Yarrowia lipolytica: one gene and its partners. The protein of the gene in region 1 interacts with the protein of each later gene in a pairwise test. Links are inferred from orthologs where the notes say so. Each region holds a gene or a part of one and is shown on either strand. Other genes may lie near its edges.

Region 1 (3,812 bases):
TATTTTCAGTTTGACTTGATCATCACCACTACACACAAGATCACCACACGGCACCCAATACACTACACGCCATGCCACCCCCAGAAAAGCTCCATTTGACGGCCCAAGACGCGCGATATCTCCGAGACGAGTTTTCCTCGGCCGTGGACCAGAAAACGTCGCTGCATTTGCCCGGAAACGACCCCACCGACCCGCTCATCCTGCGCGTAAAACAACTTGTGTCGGAGTTCGTCACAGAAACCATGCAACTGTCGCGACACGCGTTGGTCGTGGACGGCGCGGAGATGGGACGGGTGAACTCCATCGACGCGCATCTGCGTGAGTCCACCGAGCACATTGAGCCGTTTGACATGGGTTTAGCTGAGGAGCTGAGACGGGTGTACGCCGAGGTTGACGAGACAACTGTGCGGTTGAGCGAGATGCGCAAGAATGTTCCCAAGGTCATTTCTGAACTATACAAACAGGCTGAAGTCAACTGCGCCGACATTGGCCAACCTACTGAGGAAGGAGTGACATTGGAAGCGGTGCTGGAGGAACTGCCTCCTGTCGAAGAGCTCAATGAGGAGGACAGAGAGACGCTGAGGCAGTCATTGCTGGAAATTAAGCGCCTGAGAGGAGCTGTTCCAGAAACCCATACGAGATTGGAGGAGCTCGGCAAGGTGAAGGAGGTTGTCGGAGGGCTTTGAGAGAGACCATACAATTGCGCTATCCGTTTTGACAGCATTAGCTGGAGCTGACGCGTGTCTACAAGACATAATAGGAAACTTGCTTGGAAGCATGCGACTCCTGGCATACGGATACGACTGCTAAGCCTACTGCTGACTACTCATCTTGGGTGAACTACAGAAACTGGAGTACAATACCGTATGTACACTCTTGTGATAGAGTACCCAGCTCCAACTCTTCAACGCATCCGACACGAGCTAACTGCTACTTACCCCGATCTGCTACAAGTACATTGATCACTGAACGAGCGCCATATCCGCTGACTCAAGCCATGGGTAAGGCTAGGCAACCATCGGCCCTCTCGTCATCTGTACTGCTGCCATAGACCCACTGGGATGAGAGATATCGTTGTTTTATCCCAATTGACATAATTTATTTCATTATTTATTCAAGGATTTAGTCTACAATTGTGTAGATCTGAGGCAGTCCTATGACTATGGCCCAGGCTCAGAATCACCAAGCTTGTGCAGTATACAATCTATTACTATTCATAACGCTTACTCCTCCTTAACACCTCCGGCACCGGCAGTCTCGGCGGCAGAAATGGTCTTCTTGTCGGTCTTGATGTCGCCACCGCCCATACCGGCTCCACCAAACATGGAGGCGGCCTTGAAGGGTCGCTTGAGATCGCCAATGGCGGGCTTGCCAAAGACGTGGATCTGGACAATGTTCTGCTCAATGGCGGACTTGATGGGCATGATGGACTGCAACAGAAGAGGGTTAGTGTACTTCATGTAGATGTGCATGAAACCCATCATGGCGATACCGGTGAAGACACCTCGGATGGCAGAGTTAACCTGCTTGATATCGTACTCCTTGATGGTGGTGGTCACGAGCTTGGGCTCCTCCTGGCCGCCGAAAGCGTTGGCAGGCTCGACGTATTTGAGGGTGGTGAGATCTGGGTTAGTACTGAAAGACGGTGAAGGCTGGGTGTAACTTGCGCAGATCACAGCAGTGAAAAAGATGACATGGACATTAGCTGTGACATATGCTGTGACATATGTGCCCTGTCTGTGAACTCTCTCTATGGACAGTGGCGCTGATCTGTTGACCAAACCACGTAGTAGCGTCCTTCGGGTCACGGAACACGACCACCGTCGGTTCTACTCTCATACTCACCATTCTTCTTGGTAATGATGGACCGGGTGTAAAGGTACAGGCCCAGGACCAGCAACTGGGCCACCACGTAGAGAATTCGGATGCCCATCAGCACCTGGGGGTCCTCAAAGGGCACCTTCTTGGACACCTGCATCATGACAAGCATGATGACGAGGTTGGAAATAGCAGGGTTGACCATTTTTGCGGTTTTTTGGGGGGAGCGTTGGCTGTGTGGGTTTTTTTTAGTGGTGGCGTATGACGACAAGGAAGATCGTGGGTTTGGGGTTATGGGGGTTTTACAATACGTTGCAAGTAATAAAGTTTGCCGTGGGAAATTTCACCACCGCCAAACTGGGTCGAACGGCACACGTTATCGGAGCCATAACAATATGGAAGGTTCCAGCAGCATAGATTTGGGCGGAATAAAAAATAAACATTAAATATAAAATGAAATTAAAAAAATAAAAAAATAAAAAATTGAGAAATTGGGCGCGGAAATTCGGGAAAATCCGGGGAAATCCGGGGAAATCCGGAAAAATTGCGGCCAGAATCGTTTCTTGGAGGTGAAATTTTCGCAGATATTTGGACATGTTATAAAATAACTTTCCATCTTGGTCTCCTCACCCCAGACCTTCGGTCTACCACTCGTATTGCACGTATGTACAGTAGTGTAAATTCGGGTTGTTTGGTTGTTTAGTTCTGTCTACCTGTATGTAATATGAAGTCACGTCACGTGGCTGTGTGTACTCGGCGTTAGTTGGATTCGGGCAGATGGGGGTTCCTGTTTTGTTTATGGATTTTGCGCCGTTTTTCCCGAAAAAATAATGAAAAAATAAAAATATTTGCTCGTGATTTTCTGGCTCTTATCAGTATGGCTGGCTCGCTTCTTTTTATGGGACTGCAGGGTGTGCATGGTGGCAGTAAATTCACCTGAAATTGCAGAAAGTGAAGAAAAAAAATTGAAAAAATTGAAAAAATTGAAAAAATTGAAAAAAGACTTAGAAAAACACATGAAAGGATCCTAGGATGCCGTACAGTACCACCATTGTAGAAATATAAAATCAGTTCAGTTCCCACAGTGTCCTGTCGAGATTCCCTGTCTGATACCGTGAAACGGAAAAGTTGTCTGCAGTGAGTTAAGTACGTAGATGCAATACAAATGCCCACTCTCAATATCAGTAATAAAGACTTAAGTATACAATGCAAACCCTTGTTCAGGGATATAATTAGCTGTTCATGGGCTGAACGGGACTGAAGGACTCGTGCCGACTCATGCCGTCTCATGCCGTCTCGTGCTGTCTCATGCGCTGTTCAACATGCCCAAAATGACTGCATCAGACGAATTACAGCCCTAACTGTAGTGGATCGAAACAGCCACTGGTAAGGCAACAATAGTTGCAATAATGGTCACTACCTTGGTGGCCCACCATAGATGCTGGACGACAAAGGGACACAGAGAGTAGTCAAAGTCGTACTTGCCCTCTGTATCGTTCCAGCTGCCTGTCAGCAGGCCTGTGTTGCCGCCAAACTCGCCCATCATGCTTCGAACGGTATATTCTGACACGGCATTGCCTCTTCCACCCTCAACTGTCCAGTTTCCGTGTCCAGGATCAAAGCTGTAACTGGAAACACAACCCTCGTGATCGTGGCCAGCCAAGATAACGCCTCGAGGATCTTCCCTGCCGAAGATACCGTCAAGAAGTCGGTTGGTAGCATCCTCAGAAAGATGGTTCTGAGACCGCAGCCACTTGTACTCGTTATCATAGTACTTAAACATGGGTCCGTCGGCACAAATGCCTGCCGGCTTGTAAAGAGGCACGTGGGTCATGAGAATGGTCGACACGTCGGGCTCCTGTTCTCGAGCCTGTCTCACCATATCCACAAACATCCAGCAATCGTTTTGGAACTGCTGTTCGTAAACGGGACCGTCTAGAGCCAGATTATTGAGCACCACGACACGATACCCTTTTCTGGGCACATAATAGTTG
Region 2 (4,232 bases), on another chromosome or scaffold:
GGCCCGACAGTCTATCAGCTAAACAGGCCTGGATCTACTTGGGTTTAGTTGTATGAGTCCGTACTACTAGAAAGGATTATTGTATTTAAGAGTAATATTTGATTGATAAAAAGAATCAGACGTCAAACGACACGAACAACTGTCGTTAAAAGTACTGTAGCCAACTAAATCATTGTTGTCTCGAGTATACTGATACTCGTATTGTATTGAATTGTATATGGACCATCACTTGTTGAAGAAGTGTGTTTTACGCGTTGATAACACCGTAAGGCTGCTTGGACAGATTGAAGACATGTCTATCACCCGTATAGCGTACAGCCGCATAGCCGTATAGCCGTATAGAAACAGCACTGCCCTCGTATCCAGCCTTGTTAGCCTGCTTTTTCGACCGGTGCTGAACCCTTTCTGACCCTTTCTGAACCTTTCTGAACCCGTGCTCTCAACCATTCTGAACCTACGCTTTGTCAAAAGAGTGGGGGTTCAAAGTGTGATTTGTGGAGTTGACACTGAGGATAACTACAGAAATCGATAGTAGAGACTTGTTGTGCTCATTGGTGAAATGTGTACCAGTCTTCAGCGACTTTGTTGTCAATGGTGGAATGGTAGAGCCCAGAGTTGTTAGTTGCATAAGCTGACTCAGTCTCTAGTATCAGAAGGCGAGCTATAGCAGCTCTGCATGACTTCCTACAGACTCCTGCTCATCCGGCCACTATTGATATATCGGAGTTCGACTTGTTTCGTACTCCGACTCCCACAGCTCAAGCCAGACCATCTACAATATCCACACTTTACTACTTTGCCAGTATAACGTCTTGTGAGCGAATACCCATGGATAGGACCCGTTCAACCATAGTGCTTCGCACTCTTTGTTTCACTTCCTTAACTATGTACATTACTGCTCAGCAGTCGTCTCACCAGGCACCTTGGCTTCCTTGGCAAGTCGCTTTTCCAGAGACTGGGGGTAGATGGCGTCCCATCGCTTGAGAACGCTATGGTCAGCATTCTCAGGCCAGGACTCAGCGGCTCCTCGTCTCCACAGGTCCTCCCAGTGGATGGTCACGGGCACCTTGACGGCCTCGGTGACGGTCGACAGGTCTGCCAGCGCCTCCTGTGTGTAAACGGGCCGGTACTGGCCGTCCTGCCACACGTTTCCGGCGGCGTTGGTCTTTCTCCACCCCTTGATGTCCTTCTTGCCGTCGTGGGTTCGCTTGTATCGCAGGTACACGAGGCCGTCGTAGGCATCACAAGCAGCCTGGTGGTCGCCGAAATCGGCAACGGCCATGGGCCGCCACAGATCCTGTCGCATGGTGGGCCGCTTGTTCTCCCAGTTGGGGTCCTTGAACTGTCGGTTGAGATGGTGCTCCGTCACGCCGGGGACCTGGGTGTAGGCCACCTGTCCCGTCTGGAGGTGTCGGTAGACGTACACAAACGCGGGCTTACCGTCTCGCTTGAGAGTGGCGGGCGTGTACTTTCGTACGGTGCCCATGGCTTTTGTGTACTGTGCCATTGTTGATGGAGATGATGTTGCAGTGTGAAATTTGTGATCTCCATTAGGGTTTGAGGGAGGTCTGGAGGGAGGGAAAAATTGCAAATGGTTTTCGCGGGATTCGAACTGGCGTTCACGAGGTGACGGTCACGGGATGATCGGTCTAGCTCTTCCCTTCGCTGACTAACGCCCGAAACCAACTCTTCTGACTCAGCTCGGTCTCGGCTCAACAAAGTTGAACTCTGAAATTTGGGGGGACGCGTCTAGCGAGACATCGATCGACCGAAAATGTGCAAGCGAAATAAATCCAAGAAAAGCAGATAATTGGAAAAAAATCAGGGGCAAGGAAGGAACCGACACGGGCCTAGGGATATATGTCACGTGACTACCCCTACTACTCCACCCACCGACACCATTCATACTGTTATACGTCCCCGTCAGAGGGCTTCCTCCTCGGTCTCTTGACATGATCATTCTACTGCTGTTTTTTGACTTCACAAGTATGGTGCCATTAGTGTTTTTCTAGGGTGGTTTTTCTCTGTAGGAGCTTGTCTTAGCTACGCTGTGGCGAAACTTGTGGTACGAGAGTGTAGAAGCAGGCACGGATGACGGGGGGAGGGGCAGTAAAGAGGGCCAAGGTGGCGATTTTTCGGAAATTTGAAGGTTGCCAGGTGGGAAATGGGCGGTCTAGACCCTGGTTTCCGAGCCCAACTTGAACCCCGTCCTCTGTCCATCGCTCCACCTGCCCATCTGATAAGTCTAGAAGGTTATGTGTCTTTGTCACCAAAAATGGCAAGACGTTACAATTAAGAGTTTCCAACTTTGGCGCGTATCTTCCCCTGACCTACGAAAAAAAACGCTACATTTGTACCGACTTGCTCGCCAACAACTCCAGCTACACCGCCAGCTCCAGCGAAATAAACAGCTCCACCCCTTGCGACATGTACAACGGCACCTTCAATCTCGGCCCAATAACGCTGACGGCCCCCAACGTGTCGTCGATACCGCCTCCTATCTACAAACACTCCATTCCACCACTCGTGTCATGGATCTCGGACGAGAATCTCGCGCTGCTGCTGCCCATCATCTGCTACTGGACGTCGGGCATCATGTTCCACATCATCGACCAGTACGAGCTGCTCGAACAGTACCGGATCCACACTCCTGAGGAGGTGACCAAGCGCAACAAGTGCACGTTTGCGGAGGTTGTTCGAGACGTTATCAAGCAACACATGCTCCAGACGGCTCTGGGCCTGCTACTCAACTACTTTGAGGAGCCCAACACGACTGGCCATGAAGCTCACGACATTTGGACGTGGCAGGTTCGGTTTGGAGGACAGACGAGCCCCGCAAAGGCGTGGCTCGCGGCGTTCGCCTACACCTATCTGCTGCCCTTTGTCAAAATCTCCTTTGCCTTCTTCATTCTCGACTCGTGGCAGTACTTTCTGCATCGGGCCATGCACCAGAGCAAATGGTTATACAAAAAGTTCCACTCCAGACACCACAGACTCTATGTGCCCTACGCCATTGGAGCGCTGTACAACACTGCTCTGGAGGGCGTGCTGATGGACTCGTGTGGAGCCGGCCTGGCATACATGGTTTCGGGCCTGACTACCCGAGAAGCCATCTGGTTCTTCTGCTTCTCCACGCTCAAGACTGTCGATGACCACTGCGGCTACTGCATTCCCTGGGACCCGTTCCAGATCTTGTTCCCCAACAATGCCGTGTACCACGACATTCACCATCAGAGCTTTGGCATCAAGACCAACTTTTCGCAGCCCTTCTTCACCTTCTGGGACCGCATTCTCAACACGGAGTACCACGGCACCCGGGGCTACGTGCAGAAGCAGAAGGAGATCACGGCCCAAAAGTACAAGGAGTGGGTTGAGTCTCGAAGCGGCTCTTCGTCCGAGGATGAGAACAAGGCCAAGGCCACCGAGGTGGCTGGCAAGTCGACTGGAGCTTCTACTTCCGAGCAGGTGGTTTCTTCTCGACTTGAGTAGACTACGATACACTATTTCACGAGCATAGCATCACGGCTCCCGAGCCACTAAACGACTAAACTAAACAGATAACATAACGGTACAGTATATAAACAAGCATCGAGTGCATTACAGAACGAGTAGTACGAGTATGAGGACTGTATATAGGACTGTACGGCACGGTACACGCACGAGAGCTATTGATTCAAGTGAGGTGGACAAACTTTCAAGCTATACGACTAATACGACTATCTCCGCAATCTCCGAAATACCGTTGTTGCGGTGGCATTGGAATGTAAACGTTGCAGGAAGTGCATGAGCAATCTACATTGTAGAGTGCGGGTTTTTGAGGTTAGTCAAATATTGGGGTAATAAGGGGCTGAAAAGGCGCTTAGAAAAGCGGTCGAAACACGTTTTTGGAGCGAAATCCCAGCTTTTTGCTCGCAGGACCAAAAGGGAAAGTTCAGCAGCCAAACAGTAATCACTCAAAGTTGTTTTCAGTCAAGGTTGATTTTCAGGGAGCAAGTTACAAGCTGGTCTTGTGACCTGAGGGGCTGTGTCGAGAATGCGAAGTGATACGCATACAGTAGAGAAGGTGTTGATGATGACAACGTTCAGATCGGGCAACGGGGCTCGGAATCGTGGAGGAGAGGACATATGATATTGATGCAGCATGTGTTGATGTGGTTTATAAACAGTTGGAGCTGATAGTGTGGGTACAATAGGAAGTACTTTCATCTCGGCATTCTACTGGACAACCTCAA
Region 3 (4,343 bases), on another chromosome or scaffold:
CGCATGCCGCAGGAGCAGGCGTCAGTGGGCTTGACGTTCTCGACGGCAGCCTTGGAGCAGTCGCAGTGCTGAGCGGGCATCTTACCACAAGAGCAGGTGGCTTCGATAGCACAGACACAGGAGTTGGACTTCTTGCAGCAGGTAGAGGCGGCCATTTTAATAGATGTTTGTGTTGGTTGGTTGGTTGGTTGGTCGATTGGTTGTTCGTGTCAGATGTGTAGCTTGGAGGCTTGATACTGAAACTATCGAGCGTGTGGAGAGGTCTTTATACTAGCCACACCATGTCATGCTCGTATACATGTTTTAGACTTCTCGCTAACCTTACGCCCCCGCTGACCTTTTCCGGCACTGTGATTGGCCGGTTGGTCCCATAACGCACGTGACCCATCAGTGGCGTGTCTCGCTGACCTTTGCTGGGGATTTGATTGGCTGACGAGGAGGGTGAATCACGTGATGATCTGAGAGGTGCACAGATATGCTGACCTTTGAAGCGCGTCTGATTGGCTGGGTCGTGACCAAGTCACGTGATCCCGAGAGTGGAACATTCCCACAACCTGTTTAATCATGGCGAATACACAGGGCTAAGGTGGCTGGTAAGGTGGCCAAAATAAGACGCAAAAAGTGAGGCTTGTGTGTGGGTTATCAGATTGTCTCTGGAGGGGCGAATACGTTGGGAAAAAAATGGAAAAACGGGAGGAATTGCTGAGTAATATTTATTTGGACCTTGTGACCGACCCGTGTCGCAGCAAACATAATCCTGGTTTTGATGGACGATGCCAGTATCGAGTATGTAGAAGAACAGTTTCAAGTAAGAGACGTGGTGTCCATAGAGCTGCCGATGATACTCACTGTAAAGGTACATACTACAGTAGTCCATAGTCTTGAACATTCAATGCGCTCCAATGTTGTGATGAATATTGCGTCTTACCATGAAGAGTGGTTGCAGAAGTTGTATCATTTGATTGGACATTTCACGCTGATTTGATTCGTATGGCAAAATCTTTTTCCTTACAGAACGTCGACTTTTTGTAGTTGTGCTGTGGTAAAATAATCGGACAATTTTGGCCGAAAGTGGCAGACTTTTGACGAGGTTTGATCGACGATCTATGAAAATTTTAATCAAAATCATAATTAAAAAATAAATAAATAAATAAATCAAATTAAAAATCCAAATAAAAATCAAATAAAAATCAAAAAAAAAAATCAAATAAATAAATAAAAAAAAAAAAAAAAAACCATTGATCTTACTGTCGAATGTACGATACAGCACCACTCGCACTGTCTTATATGTACGTATGCTGTACTCTCGTATCAGCCTATTCCCAGAAGTGATAAAAAAGAACCGTCGCTGTTGATGTTGACGAAAACAGTCCAACATCCTATTCGTACAGTGCATACGACTACGGTACACGAACTTGTATCTCTCCTGTTCCGCTGTTGGTCGCACCATCGCTTACCGTCTAGTTGGTTAAACCTATTGTATGTACTGTACATACTCGTACTTGTAACTAATAACCACCGTTATCCACGCCGTTATCCGTTGTGCCATTGTTTACTTGTATCGTACTTCGGCTAATCGCCTGAGTGGTGTGAGTATAAAAAATGGCAGTCACACTTGTATTGCTGTACTGCGCCACACCTTAGCTGACCATACCTATGACGTTCCACGACGAGCACCGGTCCGGCACCCGACTCGTACTCGTCGTACTTGCAGCCTCATCCATACCCAGCAATGATGCCATGTTCCTATCCAGGGCACGGCCTCTTCATCACACCACCTGTGCTTCCGAGACTATATGTAAGCAAGTTGGGCAGTGTAAGTGGTGCAGGTCATGTGACCTTGTAAACAACAACCCGACTTTACAGTAACGCTTGGACACACTTGTTGGCCTGTTGAGTCAACCCGGGGCCAACCCAAGGCAACAAGGAGACCAAACCATCAATATATCGGACCAATATATCGGACCACGGTCGCCGCCGAATCGCCCCACATGGCGCTGGGCCGTTCCAGCTGAGCTGATGCCCCCCACGTCGCTCCCATCGTATATCCAAACCCTATCAGCATTTTTTCTGAAAAAGGCCGTTAAACGACATATACGACTTGGGAGTTGGATCAGTAGGCTGATGTTGATTTTTCAACCCATTTTACCAAACCAAAAAGCTAATCTAGCCGAGTCGATGGCGGATCGCGGACATGCTACTCTAGACCACGTTCCGGACGGCGGTTTCGACCGGCGAGGTTATGAGTACGTCAGAAGCAGACAGAAGAACAGATTGCGAGCACAAATCCGAGACCCACGGCCCCCTAAAACACGTCCAGGGCCCTAATCAGATGTGCCGTCGCGACGCCCCTGACGTGTTCACATGTTGAGTTTGGATGCAGAAGGTTCAGCATGTTTAGCCCGTTTGGGTTATCAGATGATTGCTTGCGGGGGTCGTTGGGGACCATTTCCACACGAATACACGGAAAAAAACCACACAGTCACACTCACCGTGTCAGTGCCATCATGTTGGTGCCCTTTACCCCCCAAATATCCCAGTTTACACATCTTGCAACCCCCCCGGGATACGACGCAAACGACAGGGTTAGGAGCAAAGGCTAATACTTTTCGTGTTTTATAGGCCCTCCCATCCCACCCTTTGGAGTCCCATATCTCACCTCGACACACCATGTCTTCGATTCTCGAGAGCATCAACTCCACCGTCACCCCCGCGGCCTCCTACATCGGCACCTACGCCAAGCTGTCCGACGCCCACGCCGACACCCTCAACATTGTCGAGCGGGTGTGGGCATCATACTTTGTGTGGTGGGGCAATGATCTCATTGCTTGCGGCATCTTCATTTTCCTGCTGCACGAGATTCTCTACTTTGGCCGGTGCGTGCCCTGGATGATCCTCGACCAGATCCCCTACTTTCACAAGTGGAAGATCCAGGGCGAGGCCAAGGTGCCCTCTGTGGCCGAGCAGTGGGAGTGCATGAAGTCCGTGCTCATCTCGCACTTTATGGTCGAGGCCATCCCCATCTGGGGCTTCTACCCCGTCTGCAAGTACGCCGGAATTTCCATCGACGTGCCCTTCCCCTCCTGGATGAAGATCTGTGCCCATCTCGCCCTATTTTTTGTGCTGGAGGATACCTGGCACTACTGGCTGCACCGAGGCCTTCACTACGGTCCCTTCTACAAGCACATCCACAAGCAGCACCACCGATACGCCGCTCCCTTTGGTTTGACTGCCGAGTACGCTCACCCCGTTGAGGTGGCTTTGCTTGGTGTCGGAACTGTGGGCATCCCCATTGCCTGGGTCATGCTAACCGGTGATCTCCATCTCTTCACCGTGTCTGTGTGGATCGCCCTGCGACTCTTCCAGGCCATCGACGCCCATTCTGGCTATGAGTTCCCCGTGTCTCTGCATCACTTCTTGCCCATCTGGGCCGGTGCCGACCACCACGATGACCACCATCGATACTTCACCGGCAACTACGCCTCGTCGTTCCGATGGTGGGACTTTGTGCTCGACACCGAGGCCGGTCCCGCCGCCAAGGCCGAGCGACAGCAGCGACTTGCCGCCAAGGCTGCTAAGAAGGCCAAGAAGCAGCAGTAAGCGACCCCGGCCACTCACTACGGTCGCGATACCCAATCCCGATCCAAAACTGACCCCAGTATATACATAAGTTATTTAATATGATACATTTCTCCTTACGACGAAGCGCCCAAAGCGCTACGCTCGAAGCTCTACGCTAGAAGCTCTACGCTAGAAGCTCTACGCTCGAAGCTCGACGCTCGATTAGCTCTCAGATCATGTACTTCAGATGCCCTCATCGTGTATAAATAGAAGCAGAAAAACAATTCCCTTTGGGGAAAGAGACAAAGAAAGGAAGGGTGAGGAAGCCCAAAAGAAGTAATGTGAAACTTTGCCGAAGTGACCCAACTTGGTGAACATGTTGTGATGGTGGAATAGGAGACATGTGGTTGATTGAAGGGAGGTTACAAGAGCCGGACTACATGATTTCAACAGTAGCCAGCATTACCTTTACTGTACTAAATATAATAATATATTATTATTATGGATTTATTATTATGATTATTATTGTTTAAGTAGGTCTTACATAATTCGCATATATACGAGAGTGTCTCATGACTAGACCAACAGTACCTACACACTTGTGGTACAATGTATATCAGGAGAGTGATGGCGTTACATCGGTGTTTCTTTTTCCAAAACACATCTACATGCTCGTGTGATCCTCCTGGTCAGTGGCAATACAGCTGTTTATGATGGATCTAGGGCTAGATCAACATGAAGAGAAAGAATCAAGACGAAGGACAGAAGAGATATAGCATACA

The links. The genes of interacting proteins can lie anywhere in the genome.
Region 2: the proteins of YALI1_B05995g (region 1) and YALI1_E20626g interact in a protein complementation assay, tested with the Saccharomyces cerevisiae proteins (2 studies listed by BioGRID). The link is inferred for Yarrowia lipolytica from reciprocal best matches to the Saccharomyces cerevisiae genes SND3 and SUR2.
Region 3: the proteins of YALI1_B05995g (region 1) and YALI1_F14958g interact in a protein complementation assay, tested with the Saccharomyces cerevisiae proteins (2 studies listed by BioGRID). The link is inferred for Yarrowia lipolytica from reciprocal best matches to the Saccharomyces cerevisiae genes SND3 and ERG25.

Annotation. Positions count from the first base shown.
Region 1 is NC_090771.1:597,771-601,582, reverse strand, and holds YALI1_B05995g (uncharacterized protein), read right to left. Parts: upstream 2,024-3,812; coding exon 1,846-2,023; intron 1,625-1,845; coding exon 1,224-1,624; downstream 1-1,223. Other genes in the region: YALI1_B06015g (uncharacterized protein), read left to right, coding at 72-686; YALI1_B05984g (uncharacterized protein), read right to left, coding at 2,578-3,108; YALI1_B05971g (uncharacterized protein), read right to left, coding at 3,176-3,812. UniProt on the Saccharomyces cerevisiae protein: Functions in the SND pathway, a SRP (signal recognition particle) and GET (guided entry of tail-anchored proteins) independent pathway for targeting a broad range of substrate proteins to the endoplasmic reticulum.
Region 2 is NC_090774.1:2,060,836-2,065,067, reverse strand, and holds YALI1_E20626g (uncharacterized protein), read left to right. Parts: upstream 1-2,427; coding exon 2,428-3,489; downstream 3,490-4,232. Other genes in the region: YALI1_E20635g (mitochondrial 54S ribosomal protein mL67), read right to left, coding at 893-1,507. UniProt on the Saccharomyces cerevisiae protein: Required for hydroxylation of C-4 in the sphingoid moiety of ceramide. Catalyzes the conversion of sphinganine to phytosphingosine in sphingolipid biosynthesis. Involved in the response to syringomycin.
Region 3 is NC_090775.1:1,493,202-1,497,544, forward strand, and holds YALI1_F14958g (uncharacterized protein), read left to right. Parts: upstream 1-2,670; coding exon 2,671-3,600; downstream 3,601-4,343. Other genes in the region: YALI1_F14933g (uncharacterized protein), read right to left, coding at 1-155; YALI1_F14946g (uncharacterized protein), read right to left, coding at 890-1,450.